Linked DNA regions of Saccharomyces cerevisiae S288C. The protein of the gene in region 3 interacts with the protein of the main gene of each other region in a pairwise test. Each region holds a gene or a part of one and is shown on either strand. Other genes may lie near its edges.

Region 1 (8,177 bases), on a different chromosome or scaffold from region 3:
GCAAAATGAGATTAAGCAGCTTGGTAGTGATAGTAGTGACGGTCATAACAGCGAGAAGAAGGACACTGATGGCGCTGATGAGAATGTACAAATTGGAGAAGATTTCATGGAAGTGGATTATGAAGATAAAGATAATCCAGTGGATTCACGAAATGAAACAGACCACAAAACGAATGAAAATGGCGAGACCGATGATAATATTGAAACGGTAATGACACAGGAACAGTTTGTTAAAAGAAGGAGGGATATGCTAGAGCATATAAATCTGGCCATGAACGAATCGTCTTTGGCTTTGGAATTCGTTTCTTTGCTACTGTCGAGTGTTAAAGAGTCTACAGGTATGTCATCAATGTCACCATTTCTTAGGAAAGTTGTTAAACCTTCTAGTTTAAACAGTGATAAAATTCCATATGTTGCACCTACAAAAAAAGAATATATCGAGTTGGATATATTGAATAAGGGATGGAAGTTACAAAGTTTAAACGAATCTAAAGATCTCCTACGCGCAAGTTTTAATAAACTGAGTTCCATATTACAGAACGAACATGACTATTGGAATAAGATAATGCAGAGTATTAGCAACAAGGATGTTATTTTTAAGATTAGGGACAGGACTAGTGGTCAAAAGCTGTTGGCAATTAAGTATGGTTACGAAGACTCTGGATCTACCTATAAGCATGACAGAGGTATTGCTAATATAAGGAATAATATAGAATCACAAAATTTGGATTTGATACCCCACAGTAGTTCAGTGTTCAAAGGCACTGATTTCGTACATTCAGTAAAGAAATTCTTAAGGGTTCGTATCTTCACAAAAATCGAATCAGAAGATGATTACATATTGAGTGGCGAAAGTGTGATGGATAGGGATAGTGAAAGTGAAGAAGCTGAAACGAAAGATATCAGAAAGCAAATCCAACTTTTGAAAAAGATCATTTTTGAAAAAGAACTGATGTACCAAATAAAGAAAGAATGCGCTTTGTTGATTTCCTATGGTGTCAGTATTGAAAACGAAAACAAGGTAATAATTGAACTACCTAACGAAAAATTTGAAATCGAGTTGTTGTCCCTTGACGATGACTCCATTGTCAATCATGAACAAGACTTACCAAAAATCAACGACAAGAGAGCAAATTTAATGCTTGTTATGTTGAGACTATTATTAGTCGTTATATTCAAGAAAACATTACGATCGAGAATAAGCTCACCCCACGGACTGATCAATTTGAATGTTGACGATGATATCTTAATAATACGTCCCATTCTTGGTAAAGTTCGGTTTGCTAATTACAAACTGTTACTAAAAAAAATCATAAAGGATTACGTGCTCGATATAGTTCCTGGCTCAAGTATAACAGAAACGGAAGTTGAGAGAGAACAACCTCAAGAAAATAAAAACATTGATGATGAAAATATAACTAAATTAAATAAAGAGATCCGTGCCTTCGATAAACTATTGAATATACCTAGACGTGAACTCAAAATAAATCTACCATTAACTGAGCACAAAAGCCCTAATCTAAGTTTAATGCTCGAAAGTCCTAACTATTGTAACGCACTCATTCACATCAAGTTTTCAGCTGGTACGGAAGCCAACGCAGTGTCCTTTGACACAACATTTTCTGATTTTAAAGAAGTAGAGGACTTCCTACATTTTATTGTCGCTGAGTACATCCAGCAAAAGAAGGTGTAATATCCTGAGTCACTCCTTAAACCTACATACATTGCCATAGAATGCCATTTATTACTATATAAAGTCGCATACGTACAAAAGGACAAGATCTTATCTTCGAAAACAAGAATATGAAGGATTTAATAACATTGCCAGGTTAAGAACGGTGTAACAACAATAGAAGTAACACAACACCAATAGCAAACAAACCAACTACAGATATGACTTACACATTGGCAATTTTAGGCTGCGGTGTTATGGGCCAAGCACTTCTTTCCGCCATTTATAATGCTCCAAAGGCGGCTGATGAAACTGCTGCTGCATTTTACCCTTCCAAAATTATCACATGTAACCATGATGAACCTAGTGCACAACAAGTTACCGATCTAGTTGAGACATTCGACGAATCTCCTAACGGTATTAAAGTCGAAAGCACTTACGGTCACAACGTGAGCGCTGTCGAAGAAGCTTCTGTAGTTCTTCTTGGTACCAAGCCATTTTTGGCCGAAGAAGTGTTGAATGGTGTGAAGAGCGTCATTGGGGGAAAGCTACTTATTTCCCTGGCTGCTGGCTGGACAATTGACCAATTGAGTCAATACACTAGCACTGTTTGCCGTGTTATGACGAACACACCTGCCAAGTACGGATATGGTTGTGCGGTGGTGTCCTACTCAGCTGATGTTTCCAAAGAGCAAAAGCCACTGGTCAACGAATTGATTAGCCAAGTTGGTAAATACGTTGAGCTTCCAGAAAAGAACATGGATGCTGCTACGGCTTTAGTCGGTTCAGGCCCCGCTTTTGTTCTCTTGATGTTAGAATCCTTGATGGAGAGTGGGTTGAAATTGGGAATCCCATTACAAGAGAGTAAGGAGTGTGCCATGAAAGTTCTAGAAGGAACAGTGAAGATGGTTGAGAAAAGCGGTGCTCATCCATCCGTTTTAAAGCATCAAGTTTGCACACCAGGTGGTACAACTATTGCCGGGTTGTGCGTAATGGAAGAAAAGGGCGTCAAGAGCGGTATTATCAATGGTGTTGAAGAGGCAGCCCGTGTTGCGTCACAATTAGGCCAAAAGAAGAAATAGATTGCTTTGCGTGAAATGTATGTATGTTCGCTTTGTAGCCGTATATTATTTTTTTATTACTGACCTTGCATTTTTTCGTCATTTTCCCGTCGGTCCGATAATGAATCATCACGATGAATGACTACCCCATAATAATGACACTAATTGGAGCGTATAAAAGAAAAAAATTATATAAATGTGTTTGTAATGAGTAAGAGCAATTGATTCATTTGAAATGAAAATCAAAAATCAAAATTAAAATAAAACTAAGCAACCATGTCAAGCGGCAGTACTATTGTTTCGTCTGACAAGTCGGGGCGAACATTTAAGCATGAGGAAGAACTACCCAAGTTACCATTACCTAAACTCTGTGACACTTTGCAGCGTCTGAAGGAGAGTTTAGAGCCATTGTATTATGCTGATGGTTACTATCAACATCCTTTAGATCCAGAACAAATTGAGAAGCTGTCATCCATAATAAGAGATTTTGAAGAGAATCCCGTAAGTGAGAAGCTGCAATCTAAACTACAGAGCTACCATGACACTAGGGATTGCTACCTTGATGAATTACACTTAGACATCAATAACCAGACCTCCACTAGGGAGATTCAGGACGATGTCCTACCCAGGAATCCCTTCTTGGTTCTCGCAGATGACGCTTTGCCAAACATCACTCAAGCTGATAGGTCAGCCGTCCTAGTGCACTCTGCGGCCAGGTTTATTTCTGCTTTGAAACAAGATTTGTTGCCACCAGATATCAATGCCACCAATGGCAAACCACTGTCAATGGCTCCATTTCTGAACTTGTTCGGTACTACTCGTAGTCCTGTTTTTCAGCGCGGTGAGGTTGAAAATTTTGATTTGAACAAACCTTACACAGCATCTGATTTAGAAGACCCTGATTATTCAAGCGATGAGGACGATAACGACGAACCCACCCAAAAAGACTTTGATGACCGTAAAAGAAAACACGAAGAAGACATATTCACTGGCAATGGTATAACTATAAAAAGACATCCGGATAGCAAACACATCTTGATCATCTCCAGGGGCCAATACTATACACTGGAAGTACTTGATTCGACGAATAAAATTATATACACTGCTGCAGAATTAACCACAATTTTCAACCATATAATAAAAGATTCTTCTGGCATTGAAAAATCAACTGCGTTAGGTAGTTTGACCTCTCACTCTTTTAGAAACTGGAAATATGCAAGGAAGAGACTACAGAAAAGGTATCCTAATGAATTACATCGCATAGACTCTGCTCTGTTCGTGTTAGTGCTGGACGAATCACAAGAAGAAACTACCAATGATGGCGATGATACCGCTGATATCAGTCAAATGTTTAACAGGACTATCACTGAGCGAGACAAGAAATGTACTTCCGCCAATTGTAAGAGAGTGTTTTACGGTACTTCTATAATAAATAGCAAAGGCCATCAAGTGGGTTCATGTGTTTCTCGTTGGTATGATAAATTACAGTTAGTTGTCACTGCAGATGCAAAAGCCACAGTGATTTGGGATTCCTTCACATGTGACGGGTCAGTCGTGCTTCGGTTTACTTCTGAAATTTATACAGAATCAGTCTTGAGATTAGCTAGAGACGTTAACGCCGGTGACCCACAGTTTTCACTCTGGCCTAACGTGACACAAATGGATCCTGAAACTAAAAAACTGATGACGGCGACCATAAGTGCCGACGGCGGAGGCCCTTCTGAAATTGACCCTAAGTTGGTTGTAAATAAAATCGATTGGTCTTTCAGTAACATCCTGAACACACATGTCCATTTGTCAGAAACCAAACTAGCTGATCTGATTTCCAAGTATGATATTGTTCGCGCTTCTATTCCATTGGGCAGAAGGTCAGCTCAAAGATTAGGAGTCAAGCCCGATTCGATGGTTCAAGTAGCTTTACAAATAGCTCACTATGCTTTGTATGGAAGAATGGTGTTTGGATTAGAACCAGTATCCACACGTGGTTTCAAAAACTCGAGATCATCTTTTATTAACATTCAAAGTCAAGCGCTGTTGGAACTATGTCAATTGTTTATTTCTAGCTCCATTGATGGGACAGATAAATTAGACAAATTTATCCAAACCTGCGAAACACATAATAACATGGTTAAACATGCAAAGTCTGGGGTAGGTTATGAAAAACACTTCAATGCATTGAAATATCTCTTCAAATTTCATGACCATTTTGGTATCCACTTAAGTGGTGATGAATCATCTGCTGCGAAAGATCTTTTCGAAAATCCACTTGTTTTACCTTTCTCACAGCCTGAGTTGATTGTTGCCAACTGTGGTAATGCTGCTACCACGACATTTGGTATAACTCCTGCTGTACCTCATGGCTTTGGAATAGGGTACATCATTAAAGATGATCAAGTAGATTTGACCGTGACATCGCAATTTCGACAGGGTGACAGGTTAATGTTTATGTTAAGTTGGGTGTTAGGCGAAATTCGTTCCTACTGGAGGATGTCACGCGGCACTTCTCATAATAAAACTGGCGTGAAGATCAGTCCAGTGGTCGATAAATTGTATGAAATGGACAATGCAGTCAATAATCCTCCGAAACGTAACGGCCATACAGTCAATGGCTCCCGCAAAACATCTTCTTCATCACAGGTAAATTTGAACAGGTATGGCGGGTTTTTCGATTTGGAAGGCCACATTGACAGTAGGAATATATCTAAAACACCATCGATGAAGAATTTGCAGAAAACCTTCAATGGCTTGACCATGAGCGCAGACAATGATCATTCAAGTTCCGCAGTTTCCGTTCCCACAGAAAAGGAAAAATTAAATACAGGCCATGAAATTTTACAGATCCAACCGCGGGAAGTGGCAAGTAATGGGTTGGAAGCAGATGATGAGACAGATATTGAAATAGTTGCTGGCAATGCTGATGGCACATCCTCTTCGGCATCTTCAGCTACATCTCTAAATTCCAAGAAACGTAACGTCATCAACTCAAGATTCGATATTGATTTTGACCGCAGTCGTGTGGGTAGAAAGGTGGCGACCTTAGATCAATAAGAACGCTCTTTGTTTATCTATTTATTACTAGCATTATGCGTAAGCTTGGCGTGATGTGATATATACTTGTTATATGAAGTATATCAATATGCTTTAATTTATGCTTATTATTTGCTCTCATGTCAGTAACCCGGACCAGATTTGCCATTGAAAAAATTTTCATAGAATAGCCCGATGCTGATCATCAGTACAAAAGACAGAGATTTCATCTCGACCTGTACCAGGAGCTAAGCAAAGAGGGCGGAAAGAGCGTAATACACCGTTAACATCGCGCATTAGAGGTAGACATGAGTGACTTACAAGACCAAGAACCTAGCATTATTATCAACGGTAATTTGGAACCAGTTGGTGAACCAGATATCGTTGAAGAAACGGAAGTTGTAGCTCAAGAAACACAAGAAACACAAGATGCTGATAAGCCAAAGAAGAAAGTCGCCTTCACTGGCTTGGAAGAAGACGGGGAAACTGAAGAAGAAAAAAGGAAAAGGGAATTTGAAGAAGGTGGTGGTTTGCCCGAACAACCATTAAACCCTGATTTTTCAAAATTAAACCCACTATCCGCCGAAATTATCAACAGGCAAGCTACAATAAACATCGGTACCATCGGTCATGTCGCCCACGGTAAATCCACAGTAGTTAGGGCTATTTCAGGTGTCCAAACAGTCCGTTTTAAGGATGAATTAGAACGTAACATTACTATTAAGTTAGGTTACGCTAATGCTAAAATTTATAAATGTCAAGAGCCTACATGTCCCGAACCTGATTGTTATAGATCATTCAAATCTGATAAAGAAATCAGTCCTAAATGTCAAAGACCAGGTTGTCCGGGGCGTTACAAATTGGTCCGTCACGTTTCTTTTGTTGACTGTCCCGGTCACGATATCTTAATGAGTACTATGTTATCAGGTGCTGCTGTTATGGATGCTGCGTTACTGTTGATTGCAGGTAATGAATCTTGTCCACAACCTCAAACCTCAGAGCATTTAGCTGCCATTGAAATCATGAAATTAAAGCACGTCATCATCTTACAGAATAAGGTCGATTTAATGCGTGAAGAAAGTGCCTTAGAACACCAAAAATCCATCTTGAAGTTCATCAGAGGTACCATTGCTGACGGTGCTCCTATTGTACCAATATCCGCTCAGTTGAAGTATAACATCGACGCAGTTAATGAATTTATTGTCAAGACTATTCCCGTACCACCAAGAGATTTTATGATTTCTCCAAGGTTAATTGTTATTCGTTCATTTGATGTTAATAAGCCAGGTGCTGAAATCGAGGACCTGAAAGGTGGTGTTGCCGGTGGTTCTATTTTGAATGGTGTTTTCAAATTAGGTGATGAAATTGAGATTAGACCAGGTATTGTCACCAAGGATGATAAGGGTAAAATTCAATGTAAACCAATCTTTTCTAACATTGTCTCCTTATTTGCCGAACAAAATGACTTGAAGTTTGCTGTTCCCGGTGGTCTGATTGGTGTTGGTACTAAAGTTGATCCTACCTTGTGTAGAGCTGATCGTCTTGTCGGTCAAGTCGTCGGTGCTAAGGGTCATTTGCCAAACATTTATACTGATATCGAAATCAACTACTTTTTGCTACGTCGTCTATTAGGTGTCAAAACAGATGGTCAAAAGCAAGCCAAAGTCAGAAAATTAGAGCCAAATGAAGTTCTTATGGTCAACATTGGTTCTACCGCTACGGGGGCTCGTGTGGTTGCCGTTAAAGCTGATATGGCAAGATTACAGTTAACGTCGCCCGCTTGTACTGAAATTAACGAGAAGATTGCTTTGTCGAGACGTATCGAAAAGCATTGGCGTTTGATTGGTTGGGCAACCATTAAAAAGGGTACTACATTGGAACCCATCGCTTAAGGAACCAATAAAACCACTGCAAAGACAAAAATTTCATAATTAATCTGAAAGAAAGTGAAGATAAGAAACGGGCTAGGAGGAAGGGAAACTGACACTTCTGGTTATTGCAATATGCTCATATACATTGATGCGTAATGACATTGATGATCTTTATTCTCTTTTTATAACGTTTTCTTTCTTTTTTTTTCCTTCTTACATAGTATTCAACTGTATATTTAACATGTTTTACGTATTTTTAAGAAAAAATTACTAAACGCGATAATATTAAGCAAATATTTATCTCATAGTTCTCGAACTCATTTATTTCCCATTGATGCCATGAAAACCTCTCAAACCTTTATCGTCTAGTTACACCAGTAGTCAATAAACTGCCTTTCTTTTTTTACACCCAACATACTCTACACTAAATCTTATCGGTGGTTTGTACATGGAGACAATTGCACAAAGATAATGAAGCTCCAAAATTATTCAGTATCTATTGAGTATATATAACCTTGAAAAGGTTTTATTTTATATAAGTTCGCC
Region 2 (8,548 bases), on a different chromosome or scaffold from region 3:
CTGAGGACCGGCAAAAGCGAGTAGCTGAAGCTCTGGATAACGGTAAGGGTATCCTACGGCAAAATGGATCATCCACATAAGTGGCACCGTAAGCTCGTCAATTGCAACAGTGACTTTATTTTTAAGAGCCGCGGTCATTTTGTTAGTATCTCTTCTCAACTTGGGCAGCACAATTTCACGATATTTAACAGGTATCATTTGAAGGAAAGAATCGTTCTCCAGATACTCGTCAATTCCTCGCTTTGGCTCTCTGAACAAAACTTCTCGATTACGCAAAATGAGGCTGGCAATATCAACCACTGTAGGCATATAAAAGCAGTCGTTCAATTCTTCCCAAAGGTTATCAAACTGAGCCTTGCATGCAAAGTAAAAGCCGCGGACATACTCGCGATTAAACAGTTTTCCACATACTGATACACCATCAGAAGAAGGTACCAAAGTTATTCTATAAGAGTCCTTCAGCGCGGTTTCCTGCGCTACTTCGTGGTACAGAATTTTGATCCATTTCCACATCGCAACGCCGTTGTTGTCATCAAATATATCTAAATCCCTTGCGGTACAAGCACAAGACGACACCAATAAAGCTTTCACGGCATCTAGTGTTTTTCTGAGTCTTCGTGGAGTGTTAGGACTGCGCAACTTACATACTTTCAAGCCATGCTCGTCCACAGAGGGAATAATGGGTTCTTCATTCGTAATGGATCGATCCTCTTCGTCACCAGCGCCACCACGGGGACCCGCCCCGAAATTGAGCGCACATGCTCGCAAGATAATATGCAAAATATCACCCAATCGGTCCTTTTTGTTCATCATATCGTTACATATCTGTGAAAAGTACTTTATCTCAGTGGGTTTACGTGGGCATAGATCACGCTTCAGCCGCTCTGTGTCGACTTTCTTTTCGCCAGGTAAACTTGCTTGGTATGCAGAAAAAATCGATAGCTCATCTACGTGTAGTAACAAAAACATGTAGGGTGCCAAATTGTATCCATATTTCCTTATGGTGCTTTTCTGAAGACCCCTTACAATAGGTGTGCCAGAAACAAAGTCAGTGAAAGTACGCATCGTAGAGCTGTCGTTCGGCCTGGCACTCGCTATTTCGTAACAACGTTCCAGGACACGGAAACTCAACTCATTATAGTATCCTCTGTTGAGGTAAAAAAGAGAAAGGGTATCGTAATCCTTTCTATTGAATTTCAAAGTATGCACTTGAAACAACGTGTAGACCATCAAGTTGATTTTCTTGGGAATAAGATACTTTGAAGGGATTGGTCCGCCCTGGAAATCTGGTTCGTCTTCAACAAACGTCAGGAACTTTTGTACATTTTTCCCGACCATGACGGAAACGACAATTTTTTCAAAAGACCTTTTCCTATCCATTGCACCAGTTCTGAATTTTACCACTTTGATTAGACCAGACTTTTCGTCTTCGTAGAATGACCGCACTTCCGTGGGGATCGATTCAAATAAAGTTATTGAGGGACAATGTACCAAGTCGTTTTTGTTATTTAGAGCCGACTCAAACTCGTCAAAGTTTGCTTTTTCAAACTTACGCCTATCGGAAACTTTCATTTTATTTTTGTAAGTTTCGAAATTAACAATAGTATGTTGATTGTTATGCTTTTTGACAAGAAATCCATCAATATAAACAAAAGATTGTCCAGTTTCCGTCTTATCATCATCTAAGAATGTAATAATTAAGCTATTGAGAAGATGCAGAATCTGCGCTATGCAGGTGCAAATCTCTAGCAGCAGCAAAGTAAATTCAGTTAGTAAGAAATCTCACTAAGATAAGCGACTGTCTGTCCCCTTCAAGCACAACATAGAAAGCAGAAGGATGTCTCATTCATCGCTTGATTTCCGGCCTGCAAAAATAAAGTAGTCGGTACGTACGTTCGTTTTCAATTTCCATGGTGCACAGTATCTTAACTATCTGCTTAGTCGAGGAGAACCAGGATTCTGTTCGTTGCTCAGCCGCTTCGTGGATATTCTCTTGGATACTTTAAATATGGACCTACGCTTAGCCTGCGCTTAGCCTACAACTTCTTCCGCTCTCGAAAAGACCAATATAATAGAAAGTTATAAATTACATTTCCTTATTAGGTATACGACCTCGCGCTTCGAAGTAGAGGAGCCCTTTTTGGCGTACCTACATATGGCGCGTCAGACAGACAAACTTCCCCCAAAAATGTATTACCCCGCCGAATAAGAAAACAGACCCATTCACCCACGACGTATCAAGTTACTTCCTTGGTGCAATGTCCCACTATAAAAAAATTCCTTGACGCTAGATCGTTGGACTAAAATCTGCGTCACAATCGCCTAAACAGGAAATATTGCCTATTTTCGTACAAGGTTACTTCCTAGATGCTATATGTCCCTACGGCCTTGTCTAACACCATCCAGCATGCAATACAGTGACATATATATACCCACACCCACACCCACACACCACACCCACACACCCACACCACACCCACACCCACACACCCACACCCACACCCATCACAACCCTAACCCTACCCTATTCTAACCCTGATGAACGTGTCTCTCAACTTACCCTCCATTACCCTACCTCCCCACTCGTTACCCTGCCCCACTCAACCATACCACTCCCAACCACCATCCATCACTCTACTTACTACTACCATCCACCGCCCATCATAACCGTTACCCTCCAATTACCCAAATCCAACTCTACTACCATTACCCTACCATCGACCATCTGCTACTCACTATACTGTTGTTCTACCCTCCATATTGAAACGTTAACAAATAATCGTAAATAATACACATATACTTACCCTACCACTCTAATCCCACTACCACATGCCATACTCACCTTCACTTGTATTCTGATCGGTCATACGTACACGGATGCTACAGTATATACCATCTCAACTTACCCTGCCATAACATTCCACTCCACTCCATGGCCCATCTCTCACTAAATCAGTACCAAATGCACCCACATCATTATGCACGGCACTTGCCTCAGCGGTCTATACCCTGTGCCATTTACCCATAACTCCCACGATTATCCACATTTTAATATCTATATCTCATTCGGCGGCCCCAAATATTGTATAACTGCTCTTAATACATACGTTACACCACTTTTACACCGTATACTAACCACTCAATTTATATACACTTATGCCAATATTACAAAAAAATCACCACTAAAATCACCTAAACATAAAAATATTCTATTCTTCAACCATAATACATAAACACACTCAATTGCGTATCAATACCACCATGACGTCATTAACTTAAATGTTCCTTAATACGTCATACCACTATGCTCTATTCCATATATTGTAATATAACTGTACTCTATAGTCATACAGACGCTTTTACTTCACCCCATCTTCTCATACTATTGTCATAGAATCTCACACTGACGCATGATTAAAACGAATAATTTTTACTGTAAGGGCTGCCATCCGCGCTCTATCCTTTTGTTTGCAATATTTATATACAGAATCTCAAAACAAGCGGGAGAAGTGCTAATTACCCAGAGGTCATGCATAATCTGAGTACCACCGTACCTCTAGGTTTTGCTTTGATCCGTTTTACAGTGACACCGAACATAAGGGGAAGCTATTGACATGGTATCGAAAGGTTGTCCACATTGGGAAGTAACTTGGTTCTATGAATCTTCATGTCAGATACGTAGGACAGACTCTTCCTGTGTAAATATTTGTGACAGCTACGTCTATTTTCTACTAGATGTTTACACAGTTTTGTCACAGGAAATCTACGCTTAAAATATGTATTTCATTCAAGCGGTAACCGCTGTACGAGCAGTGACATTGCTGGTCGCACCTTAAATGTAAACCAACGTTACGGCACACCGTGATGTACCCGCATTAAAGTTTTGTAAATTCGTTATTACGATTATCGAGTTGGCTAGATAGAAAACCGGAAATGAAATGGATGCCCTTTTCGAATAGCTGAGTTTCTTTGCCTAAAATAGCCCAATATTGTTTCCCTTTTTCTATCACGAGGTTACTGAGCCATTGCATGAACGCGCGCGCCTCGGCGGCTTTTTTTTTCTGCTGTGCTGTATAAAAGCGAAAAGCCAGAAGTTACTATCTCGAATAAAAAACCCCTCGAACTGCCATCTCACTACCGAAAATGAAAGAGAATGAACTTAAAAATGAGAAGAGTGTAGATGTATTATCCTTCAAACAGCTCGAATCCCAAAAGATTGTTCTACCTCAAGATCTTTTCAGAAGCAGCTTTACCTGGTTTTGTTATGAAATTTACAAGTCCTTAGCGTTTCGCATCTGGATGCTATTATGGCTACCACTTAGCGTCTGGTGGAAACTTTCCAACAATTGTATTTACCCACTTATAGTTTCACTTCTGGTCCTGTTTCTGGGACCAATATTTGTCCTTGTTATTTGTGGACTTTCTCGTAAGCGTTCCTTATCGAAACAACTCATTCAGTTTTGCAAAGAGGTTACTGAAAACACACCAAGTTCTGATCCTCATGATTGGGAAGTTGTTGCAGCAAATCTAAATTCGTACTTATATGAAAATAAGGCTTGGAATACTAAGTACTTTTTCTTCAATGCCATGGTCTGTCAAGAAGCGTTCAGAACAACCCTTCTCGAACCATTTTCTTTGAAAAAAGACGAAGCTGCCAAGGTTAAGTCATTTAAGGATTCCGTCCCTTACATTGAAGAAGCATTGGGAGTTTATTTTAGAGAAGTTGAAAAACAATGGAAGTTGTTTAATTCTGAGAAATCATGGAGCCCTGTTGGCCTGGAAGATGCTAAACTTCCCAAAGAAGCTTACCGATTTAAGCTTACTTGGTTTTTAAAGAGGATTTCCAATATTTTTATGTTGATACCATTCCTTAATTTTTTGTGCTGCATATATGTGTCACGGGGAATGTGCCTTCTATTACGCACCTTTTATCTCGGGTGGATTCTTTTCATGTTGGTACAAGGTTTCCAAAACATGAGGATGATCGTTTTATCCGTGAAAATGGAACACAAGATGCAGTTCTTGTCGACTATTATAAATGAGCAAGAAAGTGGTGCGAATGGATGGGACGAAATTGCAAAAAAAATGAATAGGTACTTGTTTGAGAAAAAAGTCTGGAAGAATGAAGAGTTTTTCTTTGACGGGATTGACTGTGAATGGTTTTTTAGCCACTTCTTCTACCGCGTTCTCTCTGCAAAGAAATCTATGCGGGCTCTATCATTGAATGTGGAACTATGGCCATATATTAAAGAAGCGCAATTATCCTGCAGTGAGGAGTCCTTAGCGTAAAGATAAATACAACTTTTTCAATTTATATATTTTGTAGTTTGTCAGCTGCGAATAACCAAAACGAGACTACTTTTTACCATTACAACCATTTTCTTTTTCCCTATTTCTCACTGGTTGACAGAAATCAGTGTGCTATCATCCTACCATATGCGCTAAACTTATTGTCTTTCTCCTCCTAGAGATGCTGTATTCCATGCATATTCTGAACGATGGGTTGGTGTTTTTATCAAGCAAGGTTAATCACATGGCGTGGCTTGCTCCACACATCAGTAGAAAACGCATACCGCAGCGGAATCCTTAAATAATAAGTGATTTTACTGTTCATCAACTACAATCGGACTCTTTCACAATTACCCTTCTTGTTTTCCACATTTACTGTTAAATGAAGGGATGTACAGAAGGCTTAGGAAAACCTGTGCTGAATACTGGATGGACACTGCATTCCCACAGTGAAACTTTTATAGATACACTGTCAGTTATTTTCGAACTTTCATCAAGTTGCTGAGTTTTAGTATCCCTTTGCCTTAGCTATATGTTTGAATGAGCAAAATATTTGCAATGTCTCTAGCTTTCTTGAAATATTGGTTTATATTGAGGGCTTGGTAAGATTTCAAATTTCACTTTGAAATACTCAGGAGAAAAATCATGCTCTTTTGATAATTTGGTGACTAAACATACATAAAACAGTTTAATTTTGGGTGGTAATGGCTGTGTGACTAGCTATAGAAAGAAAAAAATTAAAAAAAAAAAAAAAAATCAAGTAGTTCCTGCACTGCGACGTCCATTATAGCATTATGAATTGGTCCCTGATTTACGCATGCGATAAACTATTTTTAGCGCAGCCGCATATTATCCGAGAATAACTTCCGACATAAGAAAATTCGCAGAAAATAGATAAAAAACTGCTCTTGGCATTCTTCACTTCCTCTATTACACACTGTGTCATACCACAATCATCTCACAGTATGTATTTGTATGTTTATACATGCTATAACGTAAAACAATGTAGAATATATATCTAAATACCTCACGGTTTTAGTTTAGTGCAGCCCACATACTACTTTTTTCCTTTTGTTTTTTTTTATATTTCAAAGGTTAAACTCGCTTAGACTATGTCTATAATATAAAAAAAAAAATAGCTCTATTCCGTTTCTTTTATTCTATTTGATATTTCCATCACACTTTCATCTTAATCACGGATGTATACTGATAATAGGGTTGACTGCGCCTGTACGGATTACAGTGCCCTCTTCAATTGGAAAATCCAAGCTTTCAAGATGCGTAACTGTTATTCAAAGGATCCTCTAAGATAAAACACAGATCGGCAGATCCGAGAGTTGGCTTCTGTGCCTTGGGCTCAAATTCCTTTCCCACCTCATTCAAATTGATTTTTCTGACTCCAAAAAAAGACAAAGCCCTGCGATAGTTCCCGAATGTTGTAACATCAAAGCCAAGCACTCCTTTATAGAAGTCGCATGAACGTTGAATACTAGCAGCTGGTGAAACTACAGGGTCTAAACTAACTAGTATCCATATCGTTTTGAGAGCATTGAAAGTATACGGAGTACAAGCTGGGTTAGAAGGAATTTTTATCTTAACAGCAATGAAAATCAACTTTCTAGACTGAATCCCTCAAGAAAATTGCAAAAGACTAACCGATACTGGTTTAAAAGAGAAAGATGTCAAATATGCGGAGTTATACCATCAAACAACTTTGGACGGCCCCGAAACAAATGTCCGCAAAAAAGATCTTATTAAAGTGCATGGACACTATCATTTCTATAATACAAAATACTCCACCGCACAATAGTTTGTCGGGAAGTCATCAATCAATCTTGTACGAGCTTTACAAATAACTTTTTAGGATCGGTCCCCTCATAAAATTATATATAAATGGGTTAGTTTCCTTCTTCTTCTGTTAACATGAAGTTGCTTCGTACTGTTTTTTGCCTTGCTCCTCTTCAAAAGAATCAATCATGTCACAGTACGGATTTGTAAGAGTTCCTAGAGAGGTAGAAAAGGCCATTCCAGTGGTGAATGCACCTAGACCACGGGCCGTTGTTCCGCCTCCAAACAGTGAAACTGCTAGGCTTGTTCGGGAATATGCCGCTAAAGAATTGACTGCCCCCGTTCTAAACCACTCTTTGCGTGTTTTTCAATATAGTGTAGCTATCATAAGAGACCAATTTCCAGCATGGGACTTGGATCAGGAAGTTTTGTACGTCACCTGCTTACTTCATGATATTGCAACAACAGATAAGAATATGAGAGCCACGAAGATGTCATTTGAGTATTATGGTGGCATACTTTCAAGGGAGCTTGTATTTAATGCGACAGGTGGAAATCAGGACTACGCAGATGCAGTAACTGAGGCCATCATTCGTCACCAGGATTTGACTGGGACTGGCTACATTACCACCTTGGGGCTCATTCTGCAGATTGCTACTACGCTTGACAATGTCGGATCCAATACCGATCTGATTCATATCGATACAGTTAGTGCCATTAACGAGCAATTTCCAAGACTGCACTGGTTATCATGTTTTGCTACGGTGGTGGACACTGAAAACTCGAGAAAACCGTGGGGCCACACCAGTTCTTTGGGTGATGATTTTTCAAAGAAAGTCATATGCAATACATTTGGGTATAACTAAATAGGTAAGTTTCAATGAGGCGAGTTCAGAATGAACAGTGATGATCTCCTTTCTCCATAACTATACTATACGTCCCTTTTATTTACTGTAGTTTTTAAGAACAAATTCTCTGATGAACCAGTCGTGAAACCGTATATCGTTTTCTGCCAATTCCGGATGAAATGATGTCGCAAGAATATTGTTTTTTTGCTTAGCGGCAACAATTAGTTCTTGACCACCATTATCCTTCCCATCTAATTTGTACAGGACCTGCACATGTTCAGGATCCAGCACCTCTTCTATTACTGGGGCTCTTATAAAAGTAGCAGGAAAATCATTGCAGTGAGGAATAAAGTTTGAAAAGTCGCAAATCCGGGTAGAAGACTGAGCTTGTCTCCCAAATGCATTTCTTTTTACTTTAACCTTTAGTAAATTCAGCGTCTTGACCAGTTTTTCTTCGTTAGATAATTGTTGTGAAATATAAATCATACCTGCACAAGTACCCCAGGTTACCTTGCTTGGGTTGTGTACGAATGCGTAGAGATCGTCGTAAAATCCTGTTCTTTCTGCAATAAGGGACATTGCAGTCGACTCTCCCCCAGGTATGATCAATGCATCACATTGAG
Region 3 (7,935 bases):
TGCAGCGCGTACATGATACGAGTCGACAAAATATGCAAAAGATAATAGTGTCATCACACCTTTATGAGAAGCGAATTTTTTTTTTTTTTGGTTTAAATATATATATACATATATATAGATGTATTCTAGTTATACTCATACCTAGAACTGATCAGACCAGATCATACCTGGTATAGAGCTTAATCGATAGAAATTCAAAAATATGGAGGAAACTAAGTACTCTTCGCAGCAGGAGATAGAAGGAGCATGTGGTTCAGACGCTTCATTGAATGCTAGAGGTAGCAATGATTCTCCAATGGGACTTTCCTTGTACCTCTGCCTGGCTTCGTTAACTCTTGTACTATTCATAACTGCACTGGATATTTTGATAGTGGGAACTATTATTGACGTGGTCGCAGAACAGTTCGGAAACTACTCCAAAACAGGTTGGCTCGTTACAGGCTACAGTTTACCAAATGCTATTCTGAGTCTCATTTGGGGAAGATTCGCATCTATCATAGGTTTCCAGCATAGTCTCATTTTAGCAATACTTATTTTTGAAGCCGGATCCCTAATTGCTGCCCTTGCCTCTTCAATGAATATGCTCATTTTCGGTAGAGTTGTTGCTGGTGTTGGGGGAAGCGGACTCCAAACGCTTTGCTTTGTTATTGGTTGTACGATGGTTGGTGAAAGGTCACGTCCATTGGTGATTTCCATCCTAAGTTGTGCATTTGCTGTAGCTGCTATCGTTGGTCCTATAATCGGAGGTGCCTTTACAACCCATGTTACCTGGAGGTGGTGCTTCTATATCAATCTTCCTATCGGTGGTCTTGCCATTATTATGTTTTTACTCACCTATAAGGCCGAGAATAAGGGTATACTTCAACAAATTAAAGATGCTATAGGAACAATCTCGAGCTTTACTTTTAGTAAGTTCAGACACCAAGTTAATTTTAAAAGACTTATGAATGGCATAATCTTCAAGTTTGACTTCTTTGGTTTTGCCCTCTGCTCTGCAGGGCTGGTCCTTTTCCTACTGGGGCTAACCTTTGGTGGTAATAAATATAGTTGGAACTCTGGCCAAGTCATCACATATTTGGTTTTGGGTGTCTTACTTTTTATTTTTTCATTGGTGTACGATTTCTTCCTATTCGATAAATTCAACCCGGAACCTGATAATATATCCTACAGGCCTCTCCTTCTAAGAAGATTGGTAGCAAAACCAGCCATAATAATAGTAAACATGGTAACATTTCTATTATGTACCGGTTACAATGGGCAAATGATATACTCTGTCCAGTTTTTCCAACTTATATTTGCGTCGAGTGCATGGAAAGCCGGTCTTCACTTGATACCAATCGTTATTACCAACGTTATTGCGGCCATTGCAAGTGGTGTGATTACCAAAAAGCTCGGTTTAGTTAAACCACTCTTAATATTTGGAGGCGTTCTTGGGGTAATTGGAGCAGGGCTTATGACACTTATGACAAATACGTCCACGAAGTCAACTCAAATTGGTGTTTTGCTATTACCGGGGTTTTCCCTTGGATTTGCTCTACAAGCATCGCTCATGAGTGCACAGCTTCAAATTACCAAAGATCGTCCAGAAGCTGCTATGGACTTTATTGAAGTAACAGCTTTCAATACATTCATGAAGTCATTAGGTACAACTCTTGGTGGTGTGCTTTCAACCACTGTTTTTTCCGCCTCCTTTCACAATAAAGTATCACGAGCTCATCTAGAGCCTTACGAAGGAAAAACGGTTGATGACATGATTTTGTATCGTCTTCAAAACTACGACGGTTCTCATTCGACTATTGGAAACATTTTAAGCGACTCCATTAAGAACGTATTTTGGATGGATCTAGGGTTTTATGCCTTAGGATTTTTGTTTTGTAGTTTTTCATCCAATAAGAAATTAATCATACCAAAAAAGGACGATACACCAGAAGATAATTTAGAAGACAAGTAGCGCAGTTATTTTCTTATTTTCATTTTATTTTTTTTCGCCTTTTATACAGACTTCAACACAATCAGAATCAAATAGGTGTATCGCAATGGAATGTAATTTCTTAAGTATTCTATATGTACTTAAAACCTATTAATATATGGATCAGTAGTTCATAAAATTCATGCTGGTGCGTTCAAAGATGTGTCTTTAGTAAGAAATCTGGAAAATTCGCGAGCCTGAATATACTCATCGCAGTGCAAGAAAAAGGTTGTCTTCTTTTCTTTTCTTGACAAAAATGCAGCGATAACCTGTAAAGAGAATCTCAAATAGACACATGATAGCAGCTGCGTAATAACAGACCTCAACCGCAATCACATTAAAGGCGTAAGCAAATTTGGCCAGCAAAATTTTCGTTTGTTCCTCGACATAAATTCTCATCAGAAAAACTGTTTACTGTCAGTGCTTTTGTCTTTGCCGCCAATACGGCAGAGAATTACATAGTATACTACGATAAACTTCTATAAATTTAAATATAGATAAAAATAGCACGATATGAACCACGGTACTCTCCAATAGTATACTTGCGATAAAATCAGCAGCTAAGTACTGAATAAGCATTTAAATTATGGTATTTTTTTTTTGCTCCTGCTGAATATTCGGGATTCTTAACGAGAGAGTTTCTTTTGTGATGATATAATATTATTTTCTAGTATAAGTAAAACTATCAAAAAAAAGTAATAATAACGTAGCTTGTTTATATACCATAAAATGTACCAGCAAAATTTTGTTTGGCACAGACAGGTTCAAAGGAGTTATTTCTTAAAGTTCTCAAAAAAAGTAGTGGATTAGGACATATAGCCCTGAAAAGTTAAAAGCGACTTCCTGAATGCCTTCTAATTACACACAAATATATGACGTAAGCAGATCGTATACTTCGTAGCTAGAACTGGAATGAATAAAAATAGGAAATTCTAGTTGTCTTATCTTTTATTATCGAATGAGACTTTAGCCAACTCGAAAAGGTTTTCGAACTCGCCACTCTGCCTACAGAGGCGGTAAAAAATGGTATTTCGATCAGATATTAGAGTGTATGGATGATCATACTCCTTGACTCTGCCCATTTCCATCACCAGAATTTTGTCATAATCTATTACTGACCTTAATCGATGAGCAATAGTCAAAATTGTTGTATTTTTCATTGTTTCTCTTATAGTTTTCTGAATTTTAGCATCAGAAATATAATCTATTGAGGCGGTTGCTTCGTCAATTAGCATTATATTACGTGCACCAAGCATGGATCGTGCCAAGCACAAAAGTTGTCTTTGCCCTTGAGATAAGTTTGAACCACCTGATTTCACAACAGTATTCAAATCAATGAATCTATTTCTTAGTTTATGACTAGAAAAATTAGGCTGCTCTTGCTCAAAAATCAAGCACAATTCATCGCATTCTTCAATTAATCCCACTTTGGATAGTACGCCATAAATTTGTACATCAGAATACCGATCGAAAGGATCTAAATTAGATCGAACAGTTCCATCAAATAAAGTAGGATCCTGTGGGATGCAGCTTATAGAATTTCTTAAACGCTCTAAAGGGATATGTTTTATGTCTTTGTTATCAATAGTAATCGTACCGTTTTCCCAGTCTGAAAGCCGGTAAATAGCCGCTATAATAGAAGATTTCCCAGCCCCTGTTCTACCAACAATACCAACTTTTGTTCCTGCTTTTACCTTGAATGATACATTATCTAGTGCCTTAGAGGAATGAGGAGAATAGCGCAATGATAAGTTTTTTAGTTCAACATCTCCTGTTTGAGGCCAATTAGCTGGAGGTGATATGTAGCCGTTTGATTCGGAAGGTATATCTGTATATTCTTTTATTCTCTCTACTGAACTCATCAAAAGTTCAACGCTTGAAAATACTTTTATGATCCATTGAGCAGTTTCAGTAAAGGAAAAGGCATTCGATAACAGTATCCCCGCTAGCCCCGCATCCAACTATGAGGCCTTCATTATGATCATTACAGAAGAACTAAAAAGAACAAGTGTCCCAATTATATCCACTCTATATGTGATCCACTCGGTGGCCATATTGAGATAAAAAAATGGAGCATTACTTCTGTCAATTGCAACCAAAGATTGAGTGATAAACCTACGCTCATCTGCTAATGCTCTAATTGTAGTTACTCCTTTGATGGCTTCAGCGAATAACTGGTGTATTGGAGAGATATTGATGTTATCTATTCTCTTCAACTCTCTAGATGCACGAAGATATAACGTACATACGGTATAATAAAGAGCGCATAAAGGAATAGCAAATAACAGAAATTGAGGAGTAACATATCCAATTAAAAGTATAATCCACAGACAAACAACGACGCTATAAGAGAGTCCTTCGAAATTAGGGATCAATTGTTGATCAATAATATCCATATCCTTGCTAAATCTGTTCATTATTCTTCCAGTCGGCGTGACATTATGAAAACGTAACTTGGCATATAAGATACTGGATAGAAGCTTCGCAAATATTTTCTTGGTGACGTTGGTACCTGAAATTATTGCTATCCAAACTTTACCAGAAGTTAAAAATGAAGAAACAAGACCTATGATAATATAAGTCAGTAAGAAATAGATGTTAGAGTGACCCTCAACTATTCTATAAAGCCAGGTAGACTTACTCCCTGAAGATCCAGTGTCCAGCCAGTATCTGAGCCAAAAGCCCTGAGACAGTGTGATTCCATGAATAAGGATGGAGGACGAGGTGAAAACAAAAACAACTCCCAGTCCCCCGAAATAGTCTGCTAACCATTTGTAAGCTGAAAATTTAACTGATCCTTCCATTTTTGTTTCCTCAAAATTTTCAACTTCAGCACACACTTCGTCTTGCGAGTTCCCTCCCTCGGGATCTCCATTCTTAGTTTTCTTTGATGTTGTTGATCTTTTCAAGTCAATTTGATTGTGAGTTGTATTTTTTGAATCATTGTTTATGCTTTCCCTCAAAAACTCATTAGATTTAATGAGGTCCGATGGTTTACCCTGTGATTTCACCTCGCCACGATCTAAAATCACAAGCCAGTCAGCCCGTTTCGTAACTAAAGAAATATTATGACTCGTAATGATGCAGGTCCTTCCTTTCATCATGGGGCCGCATAAACACTCTTCATATATATAAAGTGCAGTTTCAGGATCTACTGCACTCAAGCAATCATCAAGGATCAAATACCTGGAAGAGGAGTAAATTGCTCTGGCTAAAGCAATCCTTTGCTGCTGTCCGCCAGATAAGGAAAATCCTCCATCACCCACGTCTGTTCTTATGCCAGCTGTCATTGCTTTGATATCTTTGTCAAGACAACAGGATTTCATTACATCATCAAATTTTTGTTTGTTGAAGATTTCTCCAAAAACAACGTTATCTTTAATTGTTCCACTAATCAACCACGGAGTTTGAGAACAATATGCCATTGAATTCGTCATTCCGTCTTTACCAATCTCTAAGTCGTCGCGGGATTCAACTGTAGGTACGTATATTTTTCCAGAAAGAAGGTTCAATTCTCCCAATAGTCCAAGTAATAGCGAAGACTTTCCTGACCCAGTCGGACCTATAATTGCGTTGAGACTATTCAGCTTAAAATCAATAGAAATGTTCTTAAGTTTAAAACTTGTTTCAGCAGCTTCCCATTCCATGCTTGCATCTTCAAAGCCAAATTTAGTATTGCTTTGTTCCAAAATCTCATATTTTCTTGTTTCTGATTCATTAAGATAATCCTGGATTCTTTCAAGAGAAATAAAAGACTGTATCAAAAGGCTGACAGTCGAAGCAATTTGGTCCATGGGTGTCCTCAATATTGCAAATAAAGAAAGAGCTGTAAATGCTATTGTAGGAGTAAGTGTCTGATTTTGGAATTTAATAAACACTGAGAATGTTATTGCAGAGACCAAAGTGGGCCCAAAGAACCAAATGAGATGGTTCAAAAAGAAAATTGTTGCCTTCTTTTTAAGGAGTCTTATTTCCCCATCTCTTACGTTTATAATCTTTTGATAAAACAGATTTTCCCATGCCAGTAGCTTTATTACACGTATTGAGTTCAGAGCCTCACTAATCCCAGAGGTACGCTTGTCAGTTAGGATTAATTGATCGGCCTGATAGTTCCCGTAAAAAGTTGCACACCAAAAATTCAAAGGAATCATGGCAAGAAGAGCAAAGGTACCAGCAAAGGCGGACCATCCCAGTAGGGAATATAGTATCATTAGGGCCGTAACTGTCATGAAAACTGCTTCACATGCCAGATAAAAAGTGTTCATAGCTTCAGAAACCTTGAAAGCGTCAATTGACATAACATTGTTCACAGAGTTGTCTTTCCTACTAGACTTTTTTCTAGGTTCCGCTTCAGAAGAGTCAGGATTTTCTTCAAAGGATGTTGACGCATTTTTTTGAAGTGACGTTGTTGAGTCTTTTAGAATTGTTCTTCTTAAGGTTTTGGAATAGATATTGGATATCAAAACTGTTCTTAGTTGCATAGTACCCTTTTCACCTAAAAACAATCCTTGACCTCTACAAGTCGTGGCAATGATTTTACTGACGAGCATAGATGAGACGTATAAAGACACCAAGTTCCATGATTTTGACTTTGGGTCATTAACGTATGATAGTATTCTTGGCATCAACAATGAGGGTACAAAGTTCAAAAAACTAGATACAAAAGCCAGAAATAATTGGGAGATGAAAACAGCCTTAAAATAACAAATAATGTTTGGAAGGAGCCTTCCTTTTTTAGAAGACATTTCAAAGTTCGCCAAAATTGCTATAGACTTATTATTAATATCCAAATCCCAAATATCAGCGTTTCCAAGGCAGTGTTTGTATGCTTTCCAAATAAGCCGATCAATCCTAGAAAAAGTAAGAAGGCCAAAGACGGTAGGAGCCGGTGGCAACTTTTTGTTCTCATTTTCAACCAAAAATGAGTACCTAGTTCCTTCTATACTTGACGTTGATAATAATAATAAAAGCGCTAAATCAATGAAAGTCTCGGAAATGATATATTTGACCATAATTTTATCTTTTATCTTTCCAATGAAGACGGAACGAAGAGGTAAAATCGAAAGAGTAAACAGGGATGCATATGAGTAAAACGAAACAGCCCATAAATCACGCTTACATGCTAAAACCCACCGAAATGACTGGCTTGCTGAAATTAAACGAAGTGTAATAACAACAAGCAGTAAAATCCAGAGAAACATTTGAACCAGAAAACCTTGGTGAAAGAACTTTTTGTTATCCATTGGCATACTAGATAAAATATACAGGTGGATAGTAAGCTGCAAAACAATGAAGGCACCCTCTATAAATTTTTTGAATTTGTCGAAAGTAGATCTATTATTAACATTACAAAAGCTACGGCTTTCCCATGCAGATTTTAGTCTTAAAACTGAGAACCTTGCATATTCGTGGTTTCCATTACCTTGTTCTTCAAATTCTGGCGCTTCATTTGTATGATTTTTCCCCCTTAGATAAAAGGCTCGAAAGACTTTGCAAAACGCGTATATCATACCAGTCAACAATATAAATAGAGGAAATTTAAACTCGATATATTCTCGCCTAGCACATTCCGAAAGATCATCACGTTCCCAATAGGGGCATGTACCATTTTTTATCATTCCTAAAAATTAATACTGTGAATCGTGAAAAGTATGTTTAATAACTAAAAAACAAATATTCCAGAACGCCAGACTTACGCTATGGTTATCCTATATTTTACTGATCTTTCCATAACAAGTGGTAATCCAATTTTTTAGGCATTTTTTATAGATAGTAACATGATTTTTTTATGACAGAGTAATGCACCCAATAACTTCTAAAACAGTATGATATCCCATTTTCGTTTAATAATCGATCATGCGTTGTACTGTCATGTCCGACTTTATTTGCTCAAAAGGACTTTGTTATATTTTTGGTTGCATATTGACAGTAAATTGGACACCCTGAAATTGCAGTTTTGAGAAAGT
Region 4 (9,313 bases), on a different chromosome or scaffold from region 3:
CGAAGAGAAGTAAAAGAAAGCTTATGATATGACTATTGAGACCTGGAATAGGTACGAAGCGCCAGTGAGGAGGACTGGGCAGCACAGTTGTAGTGGAGACCAGAATGACTGCGTTGCATAGTGTGTCCAAAACGCCCGCGATCAAGGAAGAGGAGGAGGACGGTGATGAGCGAGACGGCAGAGGAGTTCCCCTGGGACCAAGGAACCATGACTACCGTGGCAGGAAAGGTGATGAGGAAAGCGGTGCTGACACCGTGACATCTCCCATCACGTTTGAAAAGAAGAAGATAGCGCCCAGGGCGTCAACGCATTCCGAACAGAGTATTTTGAGCAGCATCTCATTGAAATCGATGGTAAATCAACATCGTCAGCAGCAGTTGCAGCAAGAGAGCTCAACAGGGGCAGGCACTGGGTTTGTTGACAGAAAGCAGCAGATCCAATCTCCGGCGATGGTGTCCATATTGAGGAAGAACTCTGCTGAGGAGAATGTTCGCAGCAGCCACAGTAGCAAGCTCGGTGAAGGGCAGATAGATGGTAGGAAGGCTTCTGCTAGTAAGGAGATCGGCAAGACGTTGCCATTCACGGATGACCAAAGATCGAACCCTGAACTAGATCCCACCAATAGCGTGGTGGATGTTAGCAGGGGCAAGAATACAAAGAGCAAAACTGTGTTCAATGAGTTAGAAGATGATGCCGATGACGATGACGAGGTTCGACAAAAGAATCTAACCACGCAGGCGTTACGCAAGTTGTCGTCGTTCAAAATGAATGCTAGTTCTAATTTGAGGTTGAGTAAAGAAAACAAGGCGAAAGAGTCTTCATCTTCGTCCACGTCTTCAGTGTCGTCATCGTCGACGTCGAAGGTGGAAAATATTGTCGACAAGCTGACTACAACGAATTCTAGCTCGATGTCCCAACTGCGGTTTGGCAACACGAACGTCATTATTGATTCGGTGAATCATGCGGCGAAACCGCCGCATCAGCAGATGCTAAGGAAACCCTCGCTGGAATTTTTACCGCAGCCTGCTTCGAGCACTAATCTGAATTTTAATTCCAATAAACATAAATCAAATGTAAGACAGATCAGTAACCCTAAAAAACCGCTATACATCCCCGCCGTGCTGAGGAAAGTTTCAGAGACAAACATAACTAATGACGATCTGTTGAATGCAACATTGTCGTCTTACTACAAGAAGGCATCTAACCTGGAACATGGCTTTAATCCAAGCAAGTCGCAATCCGCTAGCGTTCAGAATGCGAACAACCTACGGATCATATCTTCTCAATCCAGCGTACAATCCAACACATCGTCAATCTTGGAAAGCTACAAAAACAAAATATCCTCGTACTTGTTCCCGAATTCTATTCCGAACAGCGACAGAATCAACTTAATACCAACTATTTCAAACAGAAACTCTGCCAGAGTAAACCCGCCCACTAAGGACCACTGGATTCCGGACAGTAAGAGGAATTCTTGTCGTTACTGCCATAAGCCTTTTACCCTGTGGGAAAGGAAACATCATTGCAGGCATTGCGGGGACATCTTTTGTCAAGACCATTTGCGCCATTGGCTGTACCTGGACTCGCAGGCAAATTTTATAATGATCAACGAACTAAACAACGGTGGCATAAATGGCGGTGGCACTCTCTGTAAAATATGCGATGACTGTCTGGTCGAGTACGAGAACCTTTCAACCACGAACCATAACGCAAACACGAACGAGGATAACATAAACGTTGAGGAGGGCGAAGATGACGATAATGACAATAGGAAGAAATTACGCAATTACTACAAGAATAGGCAGATGAACGCTCTTTTCAGACCAAAGAAGGGCGGTTCGTCCCAAGAGCATGCCACGGTTGATCGAGACACAACAACGCCCATCCAGGTGAAGTCGAACGACGAAGAAGCAGATAATGAGAATACGGGGGGAGAACAAGAAGAAGGTAATGATGTTTTGGGCAGTGTTATCGGCTCTGTGCCTGCAAACTGGAATTGGAGTAGTTTCTGATGAACATTTTTTGCGAGACAAGCGAAGAGAGGATGTACACTATTGATGTATGACCATTATGTATACAATAAACTTAATATAATATGATATAATATAATATAATATATAACACTAACACTTTCCTGAGGATTTTCGGTATGGCGCCGAGCGAAATTTTAAAGAGAACAACAGAAACAGTCACCAAGACTTCTTCAATTAGGCAGCGCAAAACGGACACAACAGCAGTAAAGACAACCGGAATGGACTCGATTATACCGGCAGGCGTCAAGCTAGATGATTTACAAGTGATATTGGCTAAGAACGAGAATGAAACCAGGGACAAAGTGTGTAAGCAGATCAACGAAGCACGCGATGAAATTCTGCCGTTGCGATTGCAGTTCAATGAATTCATACAGATAATGGCAAACATAGACCAAGAAGGATCCAAGCAGGCTGACCGTATGGCCAAATACCTACATATCAGAGACAAGATTTTGCAACTGAACGATAGATTCCAGACTTTGTCTTCGCATTTAGAAGCACTGCAACCTTTATTCAGCACTGTACCAGAATACTTGAAGACTGCAGATAACAGGGACAGAAGTTTCCAGCTTTTGGAACCGTTGAGTACTTATAACAAAAATGGCAACGCCGTTTGCTCGACAGCAACTGTTGTAAGCACCAACCACTCTGCGGCCGCTTCGACACCCACCACAACTGCCACCCCTCATGCAAATCCCATCACACATGCGCACTCGCTTTCGAATCCAAATAGCACCGCTACAATGCAACATAATCCCCTGGCCGGCAAGAGAGGTCCAAAAAGCGGTAGTACTATGGGAACTCCAACCGTACATAATAGCACTGCAGCTGCACCGATTGCGGCACCTAAAAAGCCAAGAAAACCAAGACAAACCAAGAAGGCAAAGGCTCAAGCTCAGGCTCAAGCGCAGGCTCAAGCGCAGGTCTACGCACAGCAGTCGACTGTCCAGACGCCAATAACAGCATCGATGGCAGCCGCGCTACCCAACCCAACTCCTAGCATGATTAACAGCGTTTCGCCCACAAATGTTATGGGCACGCCGCTGACCAACATGATGTCTCCCATGGGGAACGCATACTCAATGGGAGCTCAAAACCAAGGGGGACAAGTATCTATGTCACAATTCAATGGCAGCGGCAATGGATCCAATCCAAATACAAATACAAACTCCAATAACACCCCGCTACAGTCACAATTAAACCTAAACAATCTAACCCCTGCTAATATCCTAAATATGAGCATGAATAACGATTTCCAGCAGCAGCAGCAACAGCAACAGCAGCAGCAGCAGCCTCAACCACAGTACAATATGAATATGGGCATGAATAACATGAATAACGGGGGGAAAGAACTGGATTCTCTAGACCTGAACAATCTGGAATTAGGTGGTCTGAACATGGATTTCTTGTGACTGGTGCATCTATGTATCCAAGATAGTAATTATCTGTATAATCTTCTATTCTTTATACCTTATTACCCGAAAGGCTTTTCTTTTTATTTTTTATTTTTTTTCACTTCTTGACCGTGGAAGAATGACTAATTTTACTATTTGTCATATAAGAATCATCGAGATTCTTACACTTTTTATGGACTGTAAACATCGATTGCTCCAAAAAGGGACATAGCACACCGACAGACCATGTCAGAACAACTCAGACAAACATTTGCTAACGCTAAAAAAGAAAACAGGAACGCCTTGGTCACATTTATGACCGCAGGTTACCCAACAGTCAAAGACACTGTCCCTATTCTCAAGGGTTTCCAGGATGGTGGTGTAGATATCATCGAATTGGGTATGCCCTTCTCTGATCCAATTGCAGATGGTCCTACAATTCAATTATCTAATACTGTGGCTTTGCAAAACGGTGTTACCTTGCCTCAAACTCTAGAAATGGTCTCCCAAGCTAGAAATGAAGGTGTTACCGTACCCATAATCCTAATGGGTTACTATAACCCTATTCTAAACTACGGTGAAGAAAGATTTATTCAGGACGCTGCCAAGGCTGGTGCTAATGGTTTTATCATCGTCGATTTGCCACCAGAGGAGGCGTTGAAGGTCAGAAACTACATCAATGATAATGGTTTGAGCCTGATCCCACTAGTGGCTCCTTCTACCACCGACGAAAGATTGGAATTACTATCGCATATTGCCGATTCGTTTGTCTACGTTGTGTCTAGAATGGGTACTACTGGTGTTCAAAGTTCTGTGGCCAGTGATTTGGATGAACTCATCTCTAGAGTCAGAAAGTACACCAAGGATACTCCTTTGGCCGTTGGGTTTGGTGTCTCTACCAGAGAACATTTCCAATCAGTTGGTAGTGTTGCTGACGGTGTAGTGATTGGTTCCAAAATCGTCACATTATGTGGAGATGCTCCAGAGGGCAAAAGGTACGACGTTGCTAAGGAATATGTACAGGGAATTCTAAATGGTGCTAAGCATAAGGTTCTGTCCAAGGACGAATTCTTTGCCTTTCAAAAAGAGTCCTTGAAGTCCGCAAACGTTAAGAAGGAAATACTGGACGAATTTGATGAAAATCACAAGCACCCAATTAGATTTGGGGACTTTGGTGGTCAGTATGTCCCAGAAGCTCTTCATGCATGTCTAAGAGAGTTGGAAAAGGGTTTTGATGAAGCTGTCGCCGATCCCACATTCTGGGAAGACTTCAAATCCTTGTATTCTTATATTGGCCGTCCTTCTTCACTACACAAAGCTGAGAGATTAACTGAGCATTGTCAAGGTGCTCAAATCTGGTTGAAGAGAGAAGATCTTAACCACACGGGATCTCACAAGATCAACAATGCTTTAGCACAAGTTCTTCTAGCTAAAAGATTAGGCAAGAAGAACGTTATTGCTGAAACCGGTGCTGGTCAACACGGTGTTGCCACTGCCACTGCATGTGCTAAATTTGGCTTAACCTGTACTGTGTTCATGGGTGCAGAAGATGTTCGTCGCCAAGCTTTAAACGTCTTCAGAATGAGAATTCTCGGTGCTAAAGTAATTGCTGTTACTAATGGTACAAAGACTCTAAGAGACGCTACTTCAGAGGCATTCAGATTTTGGGTTACTAACTTGAAAACTACTTACTACGTCGTCGGTTCTGCCATTGGTCCTCACCCATATCCAACTTTGGTTAGAACTTTCCAAAGTGTCATTGGTAAAGAAACCAAGGAACAGTTTGCTGCCATGAACAATGGTAAATTACCTGACGCAGTTGTTGCATGTGTTGGGGGTGGTTCCAACTCTACAGGTATGTTTTCACCATTCGAGCATGATACTTCCGTTAAGTTATTGGGTGTGGAAGCCGGTGGTGATGGTGTAGATACAAAGTTCCACTCTGCTACTCTAACTGCCGGTAGACCTGGTGTCTTCCATGGTGTCAAGACTTATGTCTTGCAAGATAGTGATGGTCAAGTCCATGATACTCATTCTGTTTCTGCTGGGTTAGACTACCCAGGTGTCGGTCCAGAATTGGCATATTGGAAATCTACTGGCCGTGCTCAATTCATTGCAGCTACTGACGCTCAGGCTCTGCTTGGCTTTAAATTATTATCTCAATTAGAAGGTATTATTCCCGCTTTGGAATCTTCTCATGCTGTTTATGGCGCTTGCGAATTGGCTAAGACGATGAAGCCTGATCAACATTTGGTTATCAATATTTCTGGTAGAGGTGATAAAGATGTCCAAAGTGTCGCTGAAGTCTTGCCGAAATTAGGTCCAAAGATAGGTTGGGATTTGAGATTCGAAGAAGACCCATCTGCCTAATGAGTAATATCTGATAAGGAACGCTTTTATTTAGCTTTTTAACTACATAGACGAATATAATATACGATCGGGATACATTAGCATATTCAGCTCTTTTACCTCTCAATTTGCTCAAGATTAGTATCGTGACCAATTTTAGATCATTTCGGTCAGAACAGCCACATTTTCGCGTAATTTAAAAGTTCAATTATTGTATGCGTGACACACTATATTAGCGTCAACTGTTAATAAGGAAGTAGTGGATAATAACGGTTCAGGTTGCTTCACAATGCTTATTTCAAAATCTAAGATGTTTAAAACATTTTGGATACTAACCAGCATAGTTCTCCTGGCATCTGCCACCGTTGATATTAGTAAACTACAAGAATTCGAAGAATATCAAAAGTTCACGAATGAATCTTTACTGTGGGCACCGTATAGATCCAATTGTTACTTTGGTATGAGGCCCAGATATGTCCATGAAAGTCCACTAATTATGGGTATCATGTGGTTCAACAGTTTGAGTCAGGATGGCTTACATTCGTTAAGACATTTTGCAACGCCTCAGGATAAATTGCAAAAGTATGGTTGGGAAGTGTATGATCCAAGAATTGGTGGTAAAGAAGTTTTTATTGATGAAAAAAATAACTTGAACTTGACTGTTTATTTTGTAAAGAGCAAGAACGGGGAAAATTGGTCAGTGAGAGTTCAAGGTGAGCCTTTGGATCCCAAGAGACCATCTACAGCATCTGTCGTATTGTACTTTAGTCAAAATGGTGGCGAGATAGATGGAAAATCTTCCTTAGCAATGATAGGTCATGACGGCCCTAATGACATGAAATTCTTCGGATATTCTAAAGAATTAGGCGAGTATCATCTTACAGTAAAGGACAATTTTGGTCACTACTTCAAAAATCCGGAATATGAAACCATGGAAGTAGCACCAGGAAGTGACTGCTCTAAAACAAGTCATTTATCACTTCAAATCCCGGATAAAGAAGTTTGGAAGGCTCGTGATGTTTTCCAATCTCTAGTTAGCGATTCGATACGTGATATACTGGAAAAGGAAGAGACAAAGCAGCGTCCTGCTGATTTAATACCAAGTGTTTTAACTATTAGAAATTTGTACAATTTTAATCCTGGTAATTTTCATTATATACAAAAGACATTTGATTTGACCAAAAAAGATGGGTTCCAATTTGATATCACTTACAATAAACTTGGCACTACTCAAAGTATTTCCACCAGGGAACAAGTTACGGAGTTGATTACTTGGTCACTAAATGAGATAAACGCGCGTTTTGATAAGCAGTTTAGTTTTGGAGAAGGTCCCGACTCAATTGAAAGCGTGGAGGTCAAAAGAAGATTTGCTTTAGAGACGCTATCAAACCTATTAGGAGGAATCGGTTATTTCTATGGGAATCAACTAATTGATCGTGAAACAGAATTTGATGAGAGCCAGTTTACAGAGATCAAACTGCTGAATGCAAAAGAGGAAGGTCCATTTGAACTGTTTACCAGCGTTCCGAGCCGTGGCTTTTTCCCACGTGGATTCTATTGGGATGAAGGTTTCCATCTTCTACAAATTATGGAGTATGATTTTGACCTTGCCTTTGAAATCTTAGCGAGCTGGTTTGAAATGATCGAAGATGATAGTGGTTGGATTGCTAGAGAAATTATACTGGGTAATGAGGCAAGGAGTAAAGTTCCGCAGGAATTTCAGGTGCAAAATCCCAATATTGCTAATCCGCCAACTTTATTGCTAGCATTTAGTGAAATGCTTTCTAGGGCCATTGAAAACATCGGCGATTTCAACAGTGACAGCTACCACCAAGTCATGTTCAATAGTAGGACAGCCAAGTTTATGACGAACAATCTAGAAGCCAATCCTGGCTTGCTAACCGAATATGCCAAGAAAATTTATCCTAAGCTATTGAAGCACTATAATTGGTTCAGAAAATCTCAAACAGGACTTATTGATGAATATGAGGAAATATTGGAAGATGAAGGAATATGGGATAAGATTCATAAGAACGAAGTTTATAGATGGGTTGGGCGTACCTTCACTCATTGTTTGCCAAGCGGTATGGATGACTATCCTAGAGCACAACCACCAGATGTAGCAGAATTGAACGTAGACGCATTAGCATGGGTGGGCGTTATGACAAGATCCATGAAGCAAATTGCTCACGTGTTGAAGTTAACACAGGACGAGCAAAGATATGCACAAATTGAGCAAGAGGTGGTCGAGAATCTGGATTTGTTACACTGGAGTGAAAATGACAATTGCTACTGTGATATTAGCATCGATCCAGAAGACGATGAGATTAGGGAGTTTGTATGTCATGAGGGTTACGTCTCCGTATTGCCCTTTGCATTGAAGCTAATCCCCAAAAACTCACCCAAGCTAGAGAAAGTAGTTGCTTTGATGAGTGACCCAGAAAAAATCTTTTCAGACTACGGGCTGTTATCACTATCGAGACAAGACGACTATTTCGGCAAGGATGAAAACTATTGGAGAGGCCCAATTTGGATGAATATTAATTACTTGTGTCTTGACGCAATGAGATACTACTACCCAGAGGTGATTCTCGACGTGGCTGGTGAGGCTAGCAATGCCAAGAAACTGTACCAAAGTTTAAAGATTAATCTCAGTAACAACATATACAAAGTTTGGGAAGAACAAGGTTATTGTTATGAAAATTACAGTCCGATAGATGGTCATGGTACTGGTGCTGAGCATTTCACAGGCTGGACAGCACTTGTTGTCAACATCCTTGGACGCTTCTGAATCTATGTAGATATTTTCAGTCATATAAACAGATATGTAACCAGATATGTACCAGTATGCAGGATGAAAATTATAAATGTTCCAGCTATTCGAAAAGGGCCTCGCATCTCTTAGTTAGAGCCAGCATTTTCAGCTTTTTTTTTCTCGCGTTTATTTACATTTCGATGCGGCTGTGAGAAAAAGTTAAAAAATCGTGGAAACCAGCAACTGGTAACTAGCAGTCTGGGCCATTGCAGCTAAAAGCCAGACAAATAAACAATCGAAAACACACTCGAAACATGCATTATGAAATGTCACATTTTTTTTTTTCTTTTGGGGATTAATGGTTGCGAAGTGAGGTCTTTTCTATTTACTGCGGTAAGATGAATAAAAGTTAGGGAATGTTATTGTTTACAAGCTGGATACTAGATCTCAAAATGTTAAAGTGTAAGGACTGACAACAAAATATGCTGCACCGAAAACAAATTAAGAATCTGAGGAGGGACTATTTAAGTGGAAAGAAAATTGAAGTTCAATGATCGTGTTTTCCTTCTGCTTATCCAAATACACTGTTATATATTAAGGCAACAGTACTATAATCGTCAGTTACGCAACAAAGACAGTCCACTCTTTTAGAAGAATAAGCCTTTACTGACATACCTCCACTGTAATAAATCTATTCTATTCTCTGTACTGTTTATCGACTTATTATTACGCTACACTCATTGATATAATATCTAATAGAAAACCATCATGATTTCACCCAT

Evidence for each region.
Region 1: the proteins of YKR104W (region 3) and PRO3 interact in a protein complementation assay, tested with the Saccharomyces cerevisiae proteins (one large-scale study listed by BioGRID).
Region 2: the proteins of YKR104W (region 3) and COS1 interact in a protein complementation assay, tested with the Saccharomyces cerevisiae proteins (one large-scale study listed by BioGRID).
Region 4: the proteins of YKR104W (region 3) and TRP5 interact in a protein complementation assay, tested with the Saccharomyces cerevisiae proteins (one large-scale study listed by BioGRID).

Annotation. Positions count from the first base shown.
Region 1 is NC_001137.3:199,183-207,359, forward strand, and holds PRO3 (pyrroline-5-carboxylate reductase), read left to right. Parts: upstream 1-1,893; coding exon 1,894-2,754; downstream 2,755-8,177. Other genes in the region: SRB4 (Srb4p), read left to right, coding at 1-1,693; carnitine O-acetyltransferase YAT2, read left to right, coding at 3,010-5,781; GCD11 (translation initiation factor eIF2 subunit gamma), read left to right, coding at 6,069-7,652.
Region 2 is NC_001146.8:4,187-12,734, forward strand, and holds COS1 (Cos1p), read left to right. Parts: upstream 1-4,143; coding exon 4,144-5,289; downstream 5,290-8,548. Other genes in the region: YRF1-6 (Y' element ATP-dependent helicase protein 1 copy 6), read right to left, coding at 1-1,745, 1,894-1,912; DDI2 (cyanamide hydratase), read left to right, coding at 7,266-7,943; SNO2 (putative pyridoxal 5'-phosphate synthase), read right to left, coding at 8,022-8,548.
Region 3 is NC_001143.9:652,732-660,666, reverse strand, and holds YKR104W (uncharacterized protein), read right to left. Parts: upstream 3,832-7,935; coding exon 2,911-3,831; downstream 1-2,910. Other genes in the region: VBA5 (basic amino acid transporter), read left to right, coding at 203-1,951; putative multidrug transporter NFT1, read right to left, coding at 3,931-7,587.
Region 4 is NC_001139.9:442,896-452,208, reverse strand, and holds TRP5 (tryptophan synthase TRP5), read left to right. Parts: upstream 1-3,673; coding exon 3,674-5,797; downstream 5,798-9,313. Other genes in the region: PIB2 (Pib2p), read left to right, coding at 105-2,012; PGD1 (Pgd1p), read left to right, coding at 2,252-3,445; CWH41 (mannosyl-oligosaccharide glucosidase), read left to right, coding at 6,066-8,567; SCW11 (putative glucan endo-1,3-beta-D-glucosidase), read left to right, coding at 9,300-9,313.